Macaca mulatta: one gene and its partner. The protein of the gene in region 1 interacts with the protein of each later gene in a pairwise test. Links are inferred from orthologs where the notes say so. Each region holds a gene or a part of one and is shown on either strand. Other genes may lie near its edges.

The links.
Region 2: the proteins of MAD1L1 (region 1) and LGALSL interact in binary tests that used the Homo sapiens proteins (3 or more experiments, as listed by UniProt). The two-hybrid records come from large-scale screens. The link is inferred for Macaca mulatta from reciprocal best matches to the Homo sapiens genes MAD1L1 and LGALSL.

The regions. Positions count from the first base shown.
Region 1 is NC_133408.1:36,186,569-36,192,276, forward strand, and holds part of MAD1L1 (mitotic spindle assembly checkpoint protein MAD1), read right to left. Parts: intron 4,671-5,708; coding exon 4,491-4,670; intron 1,441-4,490; coding exon 1,316-1,440; intron 94-1,315; coding exon 12-93; intron 1-11. UniProt on the Homo sapiens protein: Component of the spindle-assembly checkpoint that prevents the onset of anaphase until all chromosomes are properly aligned at the metaphase plate.
Region 2 is NC_133418.1:60,272,906-60,279,184, forward strand, and holds the start of LGALSL (galectin-related protein), read right to left. Parts: upstream 3,552-6,279; 5' UTR 3,527-3,551; coding exon 3,491-3,526; exon of another isoform or gene 3,182-3,490; intron 2,728-3,181; coding exon 2,656-2,727; intron 2,476-2,655; coding exon 2,387-2,475; intron 1,736-2,386; coding exon 1,558-1,735; intron 1-1,557. UniProt on the Homo sapiens protein: Does not bind lactose, and may not bind carbohydrates.

The sequences.
Region 1 (5,708 bases):
GAGCGACTCACTTTAATCTGCTGCTCGTGGTCTGCTCTTGCTTCCTGGCTGGCCTGGAGTTCCTGGATTTTCTGATTGGCTTCCTGCCATTTTCTATTGAAAGAAAAATACATCACATACAGAAACAGGCATGTGGCAAGGCCAACAATTCTCCTCAGCCTGAGACCCGCCCCAGCACAGACCCACGCACATTCATTCCCACCCCAAGGTTCAGGACCCCCTCTCCGGCACAGACCCCCCACACATACACTCCACTGCACGGGTACCCCAAGGTCCCAGGCCCCAGCCCCTGCGGGCTGTCTCTGCAGCCTCAGGCTGCTCATTCGGAAGGGTGCATAGTGAGCCCAGGCCACCTGCAAGGTCCTCTCCAGCAGTGGCACCCCCAGCTCTCACCTGCCTGCAGCAACTCCCAGCCCTGGTGCAGCTGCGGCAGGGCCCCACCCAGGAATGACCTCTCCTCTCCACTACGAAACTAGAACTCTACTAAAACAGCATTTGCTGAGGGAAGGTTCCAAGTCTAAAGGAGATGCCCAGTCTTCTGACCACACCTCCAGACAAGGCTCTCCCGTCTATACCTCGGCTGAGCCCAGCCCTGTGCCTGGACACCCCTTCCCAGCAGCGCCCCCTCTACCGCCAAGGCACATGGCGCTGCCCTCTGAACCTAGCCCTCAGCAGGGCACGGTGGCTTAGCCTGGGATCCCAGCACTCCAGGAGGCTGAGGCAGGAGGATCATTTGAGGCCAGGAGATCAAGACCAGTCTGGGTGACAAAGCGAGATGGCCATCTCTACAAAACGTTTTTTAAAATTAGCCAGGTGCAAAATTAATCCCAGCTACTCGGTGGCTGAGGCAGGAGAATCACTGAACCCAGGAGGCGGAGGCTGCAGTGAGCCAAGATGGTGCCATTGTACTCCAGCGTGGGTGACAGAGCGAGACTCAATCTCAAAAAAAAAAAATCAGCCAGGTGTACTGCACATGCCTGCAGTCCCAGTTACTCTGGGTGCCACTGCACTCCAGGCTGGACGACAGAGTGAGACCTTGTCACAAAAAATAAAGTAAAATCTAGCTCTGCAGGAGCCCTCTCTAAGAAGGAGGAGGAGGAAGTTGCTGCCCCCATTTTGCTCCAGGAACATCAGGACACTTTCTGGGCTCATGGTCCTGGCTCCAGAGGCCTCAGCGTCTGCCCCTCTTGACTGTCTGTGAATTAGGACAGCACCCGGGAGTGCATCCACAACCCACCCAGCCACCAAGAGAGAGGTGGCGTGCACGCCCCCACACGTGGCCCGACCCCCGACCCCACACCCTGGCCCCGCCCACTTGTGCTGCAAGTCCAGCTGCTCCTGCAGCTCCTGCTTCTCCGACTCCAGGCGCTTCACCCGCATCTCCTGGTCCATCACGCTCCACTGCAGTTCCGAGATCCTCCCCTTGAGTGCGCTGATGGTCTAAAAGCAGAGGGGGCCAGAGAGCCACTCAGTGAGTAGAGCCCATGCATGGAAGGAGCACATGGAGGTGAGAAGAGCGGACAGGCACCACCCACATGCTACAACCAAGCAGGAGGCAGAGGGGCAGAGGAATAGGGGGCAGAGGGGCATCAGGCAGAGGGACAGAGGGTAGGGGGACAGACGGCAAGCGGGCGAGGGGGACAAGGGGAGCAGAGGAGCAGAGGGCCAGGGGGCAGAGTCACCTCCTTCTGGAGGATGCGGGTCCAGGCAGGCACTCACACGCAAGGCCCACCCTCCTCCTGGCGCTCCAGAGCAGCACAGCCCAGAGCCTGCAACGAGCCATGCAGGAGCTGACTGAGGAGACCCAGGCCCCAGCCAGGGCCCCTGGAAAGGAGGCTTGGTAAGGCGGCTTCAGAAGCAAAAGTCCTCACCAGCCAAGATGGGCCTGGACTCTCAGGCCTGGCACCTGGCAGTCTCTGTGCCAGTGCTGCATGCTCCCAAAGTCCCACCAGGCATCCACATACCCACCACACCATCATTTTGGTCTTCCCTCCAATAGTGGCTCCTGTCGTCCCTCCCCAGCCACCCCAATGCTACTATGCCGGCTGTTTGCTAATGACATCGCCCTCGAACAACAGCAAGGCACTGGCCAACCAACAGGACAAAGACGGAGGCTGTGCAGGGGGCTAGGCGGTAGCTGTTGGGGAGGCCATGCGCTTGGAAGGGGAGCGCATAGCACAGGCAGGAGCACCCCTGGGGAGGCAAAGCCAACAGCCTCTCTGGCAGCCTCCAGGACACCAGGTCTGCCTGACAGCACGGAACCCGCGCGTGACAGAACCGCCACGCTTCATCCTGACCACCCTCACCAGGCAACCTTCTGAGGACCCTAACCCTCTGGAAAAGCTCAGAAAACCCTAGGTGTCCTCAGAGAAAGAGCACGTGGGTCGAGCCAATGTGAGAAGCCGGACAGACCCTGAGAAGCATCACTGTAAGTTAACACAGGGAAATACATGGGCGTGATGTCAGCTCTGGGGACCATGCCCCCAGGGCAGGACAATGGCAAACTCACACAGCAAACAACCTGGGTGGGCCTGGCTGGGTGGCACCCTCCGCAAACAAGGAGGCCACAGCACTCATTTCCCTGTTCCTGAGAACCCGTGGCCAGCTCAGCCCGCTGAACCCTATCACTGCCGTCCACCCCACGACGCTCTGGGAAGGCGCGCATGGGGGCGGTGTGCTCCCAGAATGCCCACAACGGGTACAGTTTACTTCACCCAATGGTGAAGCATTAACCTGGGAGTCAAAAAAGAAGGTATTAAAAACATACTAACAATAAACACATCCTCCCAGAGGTCTTCTGAACTCAACTAATACACACCGGATGCCGGGACCAGGCTGGATGCAGGGCCGAGCCCACCTGCCCGCAGGGGCACCTGTGTTGTAGGGGACGCCGGACAGTTGGCAAGGAAGAGGCACATAAGACAATTCCAGAGTAAGGAGGTTGACAATCAGGGCCCTGTGACAGGAGAAGGCAGCCAAGGCCTAGTGAGCAGGAGGGTTTGCCCTGAGGAGCTGCCACCCTAGCTTAGACGTGACAGGCCAAAGCAGCAGCGCCTGCAGCAGCGCGATTTCCCCTCACGGAGCCCCACCCCACTGGGCACCACCCTGCGGCTCCTGCAGTCTCCCACTCCTCTGCCCCTCGTGGAGTGCTGGGCACGACTCACCCTCCCCCATGGAACCGCAGGTGCCCACAGGCAGCGGGGACAGGGTCTGACCCACCTCCAGCACAGCCCAGCACACAGGAACTGGAACCCAGAGCACGGGCAAGGCAAGAGCAGCTTCTCGGAGGCCAATCACACCTCCTTTCCTGCCAACGTGCCCTCCAGAAGCAGATGGGGGAACAACCTCAACACGCTTCCCCAGCACCACCCACAGAAAGGACGCAGGGCCAGTTTCTGGACCCCTCCAGGACGCTTGCTGCACGCCCACCCCACCCCCACCCCTATGCCAGCAGATTTGCATGTCTCCTCTTGGCACCAGCAATCTTGATCTTCACAGAAAAAGGACAGGAGAGGTCAGAAGATTCCAATTTCCACCAGCGCCCACATCCAGGCTGTTTCTAAAATGCAAGCAACCTTCACCAGGACTGTGGTTCACACAGGCTCCGGTTCAGAGGCAATTCTCCCGACACCATCAGATGCCTGTAGACCTTGCGGATAGTCAAAGAAATGCAAATCCATTCGTGCCTACTTAAGCCTCCTGACGAAAGAACAACTATTTCCAGAAAAGACCACCATCCACGACAGGGAAGGCTGCAGGGAAACTGGAGCCCTCAGCCGGGGCTCTGAGAACAACCGCTACAGAGACCGCCATCGCTGGGGACCTTATAGCCCAGGCCTAGGGGTCTGTCCAAAGTCAACAGAAGCGAAGGCTGCATAGATACACAAGTGAACACAAACACACTAAAAGTCCATAAATGACAAAAAACGGATTCATCAGCCTTCAAAATTCATAATTACAAATGCAAAAAAACTGCTTAACTTTTTTTTTTTTTTTTTTTCAGACAGAGTCTCACTGTGTTGCCCAGGCTGGAGTGGAATGGCGTGACCTTAGCTCACTGCAACCTCCACCTCCCCGGTGCAAGCGATTCTCCTGCCTCAGCCTCCCGAGTGGCTGGGACTACAGGCGCCCGCCACCACACCCAGCTAATTTTTGTATTTTTAGTAGAGATGGAGTTTCACCATGTTGGCCAGGCTGGTCTCCAACTCCCGACCTCAGGTGATCCACCCACCTTGGCCTCCCAAGTGCTGGGATTACAAACATGAGCCACCACGCCCAGCCCAAGTGCTCAACTTTTTAATTGAGAACTATAGAATGGAAAATTAATACTTCTACTGATTACAACTATGCAAAAAACGCAGCTGTCCGTGTGGGAAGCACAATTAATAACACAGGCGCGGCGCTGCAGTGGTGAACAAGAGCATGCATTCCCTCTCCTCAGGAAAACAGTGCCAGGAGGGCAGTCCCCGCGGAGCGGAGGCCCCGCTCACCTCGCCGGCCTGGGCCAGGCTGTCCTCTTTCTCACGAAGCCTCTTGCTGGCAGCGTCCAGGTTCTGCTGACACTGCCTGTTGCGCTCCAGCTGCTCCTGCATCTTCTCCTCCGCCCCAGCCTCCCGCTCCTGAAGCTGCCGGATGCGCGTCAGGAGCTCCTGGTTGCGATCAACCTCGCGCTGTCAAGAGAGCAAGAGTCAGATGCCATGTGCCACCCACGGGAGGGTCAGCGGGGAGCCCTCACCCCCACGCCTCTCTCAGAACAGGCCGAGGCGCAAAAAAGAGGTGAGCAGGACGCATCAGCCAAGTCAGCGGCAGAACCAGGATGGAACCTGGGACCCAGCTCCAGTGCCGGCGCCCCCGCTGAGGCGCCATGACGGTGAGCACTGTGCAAAGTCAGGACTCCCAGGACGGGCACTTGGCACAGATCACACACACATTCATCACACCGTCTGCTCAGCAGTTGCCTCTGCAGGGAGAGGGAGCACGGGAAATCTACAATTCAGCATTGACCTTGGGGAGAAGCTGAGCTTTCACAGCACCAGCAAATCCTGTCTAACTTCACTCTGGCCGGCACTGAAATGAGCTGGCACTCCCCCAGCGAGCAGCCGATGGGGCAGAGACAGGTGGCGTGAGCAGGAGGCTGCGGACAGAAGCAGTTTACACTGGGCTCAAATCTGCCACACATGCACACCATCTCACACAAACCTCCAGAGCCACCCCCCCGACTGGCCTTGGGGAGGCTGCGTGGCTCTCACTGGTTGGGATGGGACATAACCAAGAAGCACGCTCAGACCTCCTGACTCTAATGACCCGCAGGCCCTGCAAGTTCACTGCCAGGTACAAGAGTCCCAGGAGGTGAAGGCGGTGAGTCCTGATGGAGCCCAGCACTCTGGGACCCTCTCGCCCTGCCTTCCTCGGGAAGCTCCAAGCACTCCCCCTGAGCCCAGGGAGGAGTATGAGCTTGTGCTGTCCTCATCTGGGGTACTCCAGCCCAAAGCCCAGGAGAGGTGTTACAGAGGTGGCTGCCTTCTGAGAGAGGCTGACCCGCACCTCGGAGGGACTCTAGCCCTTGTGAGCTGCAAGGGCTGCCTCACAACAACCAAGAGACTCTTCTGTGATGCAGAACAGGAGCTGGGGTTGGCATGGGGCTCCGCTCAGCACCATCACAGCCAGATGGGGCACCAGGCCCGGGACTGCCAGTCCTAGTGCAGACA
Region 2 (6,279 bases), on another chromosome or scaffold:
AGCATTGGCGTTCACCATGTAAGGAGGCTCCATATGTGCTATTAGTCACATTTAATTCATATTACTAAAATTTTATCACCAAGAAAGGCCTATTTCACTTCAGTTTTGTTGTTGGGAGCATTATATTCCTCCTGGCAGTCAGAAGCTGTGGTTATTCACATTCATGAGCTATGCATTAAGGTTCATCACTGAGAAACTATCCTCACCAAGAGGAGCCCAAGGGGACATCACCATTCTAGAGAAGGGGGTGAGGAGAGAGAATGGGTCAAGGGTGCTTTCCAGAGACTATAACTAGAAGGGCAACTATCTCAATGCTACCACTGATGCAAAAATCATGGATTCTTATTTTCCCCTCAGAATGTAAGAAGGGAAGTGAAATAATTACTTCTTCATGAGGCACTTGAAAATTTCTAGATGAAGGGTAACCAGTTAAGTGTAGTTCTGTTTTATTGGGCTCATATGTAACATGGAGCTTTTAACTGAGTTGTCATTATTGTGATGTAATGTGAAAGTGTAATGACAATTCATCACTAGGTCTGACCCCTTTTCAACACCATTACTACTTGCATTTCCTTTTTTTTTTTTTTTTTGACAGAACCTTGCTCTGTCACCCAGGTTGGAGTGCAGTGATGCAACCACAGCTCACTGTAGCCTTGAATGTCTGGGCTCAAGCGATCCTCCCGTCTCAGCCTCCCAAATAGCTAGGACTACAGGTGTGTGACACTACGCCAGGCTAATCTTTTTTTTTTTTTTTTAAAGAGGCAGGGTTTTTGCTATGTTTCCTAGGCTGGTTTTGAACTCCTTTGCTCAAGCAATCCTCTTGCCTCAGCCTCCCAAAGTGGTGGGATTACAGGCACAAGCCAATGTGCCACTACTTGCATCTCTTATTTGGCATTGCCTTTCATAGAGGAAGGTGCTGCTAATGCTGCTTGACTGAATGAAAAGTTTGGATTGTGCTTCCTGCCCAAAAGATAGTGGGGAGCAAATCTTTATTCATCCAGTCCCAAGGGAAGGAATTTGTCAGCCAGTCTGTAACCGTGAAATAGACTGCGGTTAATTAATCCAGAGCGGGAAACAAGGACACAAACATGGCCTCATTAGCAAAGGGAACAAGAGAAAATGAAATGATCATCATCATATTCTTTAAAATGTCATACAAATAAGGCTGAGAGCTAATAAGTAGCTCTCAACCTTATTAATATTTATTAATATTTAATAAGTGGGTACTTATTAGTATTGATTAATCAATCAGATATTTGGGGGTAGGTATCTACTATATGTTGGGTACTACATAGAAAAGTTACTTATTCTTAACAATTTGGTCACGTAAATATGGGTCTATTTAAATGTGTGAGCTGAATAGAACTAACAGTTACTATGGCAAGTGTTAATTTACATCAGCAAACAGAGCTCTTTTGATCTTTTTTTCACCATTGGGTGACAAATTTCCTGGACATGCAAAAATTCTGGCCGCTTCAAGTGTTCTTGGCACACACTAGGTAAGTCGAACATTATCACCCTGCCAGTGGCTGGAGCCGAGGCACTCGAGGTACTCACCCTGAATGGCTGGTCTGGAATGAATGGGAAGTAAGGGATTGCTGACTGTTCTTCACCCCTCTCCCCAGATATACAAGAATTTCTGAGTAGCTGCCGATCTGTGAACACAGCTTTGAGTTCAATTGCCACATCGGCAGGAGGGTCTTCAGAGTCCCCACAGGTCAAGCTGATTGCAAAGCTGAAAAGAAAATCATCTCATTGATTCAGGGTTGGATATAAAAACATTTCAAAATGACCCAGGTGCTTATATTTCCTGTTCCTCCTCTGGGTTTGCCCGTTTTTAAGAGGCCACTACTCTTCAAGAGAGGTTAGATTATGGAGAAGTAAGTCAAACCAGTTTATTTTGTTACCTAAAGCAAGCTCTGGTGAAAACTTTGGTGGAGCTGAAAATGACTAAAATTAGCGATTTCAAATACCCCAAAGCGACCACACATCTATGTCTTAATCCACTTCGGAATTCTCAAAAACAGCCACAGAAATTGACCACGGGAAATAATGTTAAGTTGGGTTCTTATTCATCTTGATAGTTCTTGCTTCTGGCACCATGTTTCAAAACCATAAAAAAAAAAAAAAAAAAAAAATCCTTTGGCCTCCCTAAGGGTCAAAGAGAAAATGTAGGCCTATATTTATAATCTCTGATATAAATAGCTGTCTGGAGAAATGATGGCTGGGATTCATACACATTCTTTTCATGGGAACATGGTACTTTCTTGGCACTGGCAACTAGCAACATTGTGCACAAGGAGAGGAAGAGGAGGAGTGCTAAACCACAACAGGAGTGGGCAGGGCTCAGCCACAGCCTGATAGTTCTGTAAAGACTCTGCCTTACCTCTCTGGGTTGAGGTCTACGATGCCCATCACTAACACCTTCTTGCCTGGTCTCATGCCACCTTTAATGTGCCCACAAAATGGAACTATCTGCAAAGGGTGGGAGAAGAAAAATGAGTTTCACAGCCTGTTAGGGAAGAGCCAAGACCTCAGATCCTGAAGGCCTGACCCATTGGAAAATGCAATAAACAAACGAATAAAATTTTAAAAAGCAACGAGAAAGGAGGAGGGTACAGGCAGAGACACAGAACACAGAGCAAAGCCATTTACCAGTCGTGGGAAGTACACGTCCGCTTGAACTGGAGAGCCCAAAGAGTTGTTTAAATGGCCATCATCTAGTTTCTAAAAATAGAAGCACACAGATTGGCTTTCCATGGGCTCTTTTTTGGGGGGCTGGAGGAAGAACCCACACAGATGTGGTGGAATCCAGCAGTCTTCCACACGCACACAGTGTCTGCCGATGATGCCTCTTCACTGTTTCTTAGATAATCTCATAACCCCCGAAAAAAACCCATCCTTTCCACCCGGTGGTTAAGCTTCTGAAGATCCGCAGACCCTTCAGATCCAGATCAAAATCAAGGTCGAGGTCCACCGAGGAGCCAGAGCCCCACGCCGGAGGAGGGGAGGCCCCTCTTCAACCGCAAACGCTTCTGGAAGCGCGGTGGGCCAGGCCTGTCCTCCGGGACGTGGCTGAAGTGGAGCGGCCGTGCTCAACTTCTCTCGGGAGCCCCGGGCGCCGACCCATTTCCAAGGGGGAATCCCCGGGACGTCGGGGGCGGTGGTGGGGCGCGCGCCCCGGACACACTCACCCACGCGCACACCTGGCTGGCGGTTGCACGGCACAGATCGGGCTGTCGGGCGCCCCCACCCCGCCATCCTCCCCAAACTCCCTCCCCAGCCCAGAGCCCCGCAGCCCGGGAGCCTCTCCAGCCCCCAACACCGGCCGCGCGCAGCCGGCGGCTGCTAACAGGTACCCGGCGCCTTCCCACGCGGGGGGCGCCGGCCAGGCCTGCGGCTTCTCAGCACCCCAGCACTGCTGGAGCAGGCGGCAGCGGAGTGCGGGGCGGCGGGGAGGGGCGCCTCGCGCGCGCCCTGCCACACTCACCACCACGGCATCGCTGTCGGCCACCGATCCCGCCATCTTCTTGCCCGGCGCGGCGGGGTACGTGGGACGCAGCGCGCGGGCGGGGATCCCGGGGCTGTCCTGCGCGGGGCGGGGGCGGGGGCGCGGGTCCGAGCTGGCGCGGGCGCGCGCACACACGAGGGGGCGCGCGCGCGCACGCCCGGGGCCCGGCGCCGACCTGGCAGGCAGGGGCTGGGAGGAGGGGAGGGGAGGGAGGCAGCGCGGGCCGCGAGGGCCAAGGTGCTCGCCGCGGCCCGGAACGGCCCCGGACCTGGACCGACGCTGCTGCTTGCTGCCGCTGCCGCTGCCGCTGCCGCTGCCCGACCAAGAAAGGTGGCAAGGGCCGTGCCGCGTCGGCCCTGGGCAGCATTTAAAGGCCTCCGGGGCCCGGCTTGGGAACCGGGAACAGGGCGGGGACCCGGCGGGGCTGCCGCGGCTTGCTCAGCGGGCCCTGCCCCTCGGCCATTGGACGGTGGCGGAGGCCGTCGCGGGAGGGACGGGCCTGTCCCGGTCCGGGAGGGCGGGGACCCTGTCGGCGCACACCGGCCAGAGGGTGGGCAGGGCCGGGGCTGGAGAAGTAAGGGCCCGAGCAGGTCAGGTGACAGGTGCTCGTGCCACCGGCGGCGCCACTCCCTCCAGCCTCCTTCCTCCTCCTGCCACGTCCTGGGGGCTGGTGGGGCGGTGGGAGGCGAGGTCGAGGGAAGACTGGGTGCTGGGGGTGGTATTCCAGAGTGGGAGACTCGGCAGGATTTCTTTCAGAGAATTCCAACAAAATCGGGGGAAGGATTCATTCTGCTCTCTAGGGCAGAAAGAGAATGGAAGGTCTGAAGGCTTGCAGAAATAAATGTGTGACCTGAAAGAACGAAGCAGAGAGGACTCAAGGTAGGGACCTTTCTATCCCAGGAGGCTAGAAACAGAAAGGTCTCTCTTCCCTGTGGAAGGACAGGCAGGTCTGGGGTTCCCTGGACTCTCTCGGACAGGAGTCTAAGCCTTACCAAATCAAACTGGGCACAGTCACTGTCCTCAGGGAGCCTCCATTGAGCCCTGTTTTTAACAAGTCACTTGCCCAGTCTAGGGTAGTAAGCTTCTCACTGAAAATCTCCTCATACCCTTCATGGAGTACTTCCCAGGGGATACACACCTCTTTTATTCAAGCCAGAAATTCCTTTATGGCATTTCCACACTAGGATGATTATGTAACTTCTCAGATAAAGCTGTATCAACATATCCTCTATTAGGTGACATCCTTGGCTGAAACATTCCGTTGCATGAATCACCGGGGCGTTCTACACTAATAAGCAGGGAGCATGTGTGTACTGCAGTCCCAGAGGGCCCCTCAGAGGCTCCTTTTTTTTTTAAATTGAGACGGAGTCTCCCTCTGTCGCCCAGGCTGGGGTGCAGTGGCGCGATCTCAGCTCACCTTCGCCATCTCAGCTTACCTTCGCCGCCGGGCTTCTTTCTAGTCACTGCAATTGGCTGTGTGGCCTAGAACATCACTGCGGCTTTTGTGTCTTAGTTTTCCCTTTATGGACCAGAGCTAATCATGGTAATCTCAGTTGAGCAGGGAGAATTACCTACACACGCCTGTAAGCCTCAGTCATATCCTCTGGAAGTGGTTCTCGAACTAGAGGCTGAAGCGCAGCACGCTTGTGGCTGCAGCACACTTTGTTTACCAGTCTTAGCTCAAAATCACACTTTATTATATTTTAAAATATTAGGCACTTATAGGAAATTATTGACATTTGAAAGCACACTTTAGTATGTATCAATTTCTGAGAGTCTGGTATAGAGAAGCAGCATTAAAGTGCAGCAGTTCTTTGTCATTAACTGAGTGACACAATAAGGGTGATACAATATGTGATGGAGTTAAAGAGTCGGTGTCCTGGGTTCAAATTCTGGCTCTACTATTCTCTAGTTATGTGATCTTGGAAAAATTACTAAACTTCTTTGTGCCTTAGTTTCTTCATCTGTTAATACTCAGAGATGATGATGATGATAATAATAATGCCTATCTCAGGTTATTGGGAGGATTAAGTAAATGCTTTCCTTAAAACAGTATTGGGCACATAGTGAGCACTTATTATACAAAAATACCGAGTGCTTGCCATATACCAGGCACTGGGGATCCGGCAGGTGACTTTTTTTTGCTGAGCTTACATTCTAGTGGGCAAAGGAAGTCAGTAAACAAAATATGTTGGGTGATAAAAGCGTTAGGAAAAAATAATAAGGTGAGGTGTGGTGGCTCATGCCTATAATCCCAGCAATATGGGAGGCTGAGGCAAGAGGATCACTTGAGGCCAAGAGTTTGAGACCAGCCTGGGCAACACAGAGAGACTCTGTCTTTACAAAAATAAAAAAAATAGCTGGGTGTGGTGTTGTGCGCCTGTAGTCCCAACTACTTGGGAGGCTGAGGTGGGAGGATCGCTTGAAGCCAGAAGGTCAAGGCTTCAGTGAGCCGTGATTTCACCACTGTACTGCAGCCTGGGTGACAGAGTGAGAACCTGTCTCAATAATAATAAAAATAACTTAAAAGCCAGTAGAGAGAGAGACAGGAGATGGGGTGATGCTGTTTATACAGGATGGTCAGGGAAGCCACCTGTGGTAAAGTGACATTTGAGAAGACCCCTGAAGGAGAGGGGTGAGTCATGTGGACATCTGGAGGAAGAGTTTGCTGGCAGAGGGAACTGCAAGGGAAAAGTCTCCAAGTACTGGGGCTGGGGGCAGTGACTGAGGAGATATGTAGCTAGAAATGGATAGCCCTTCTACACTGT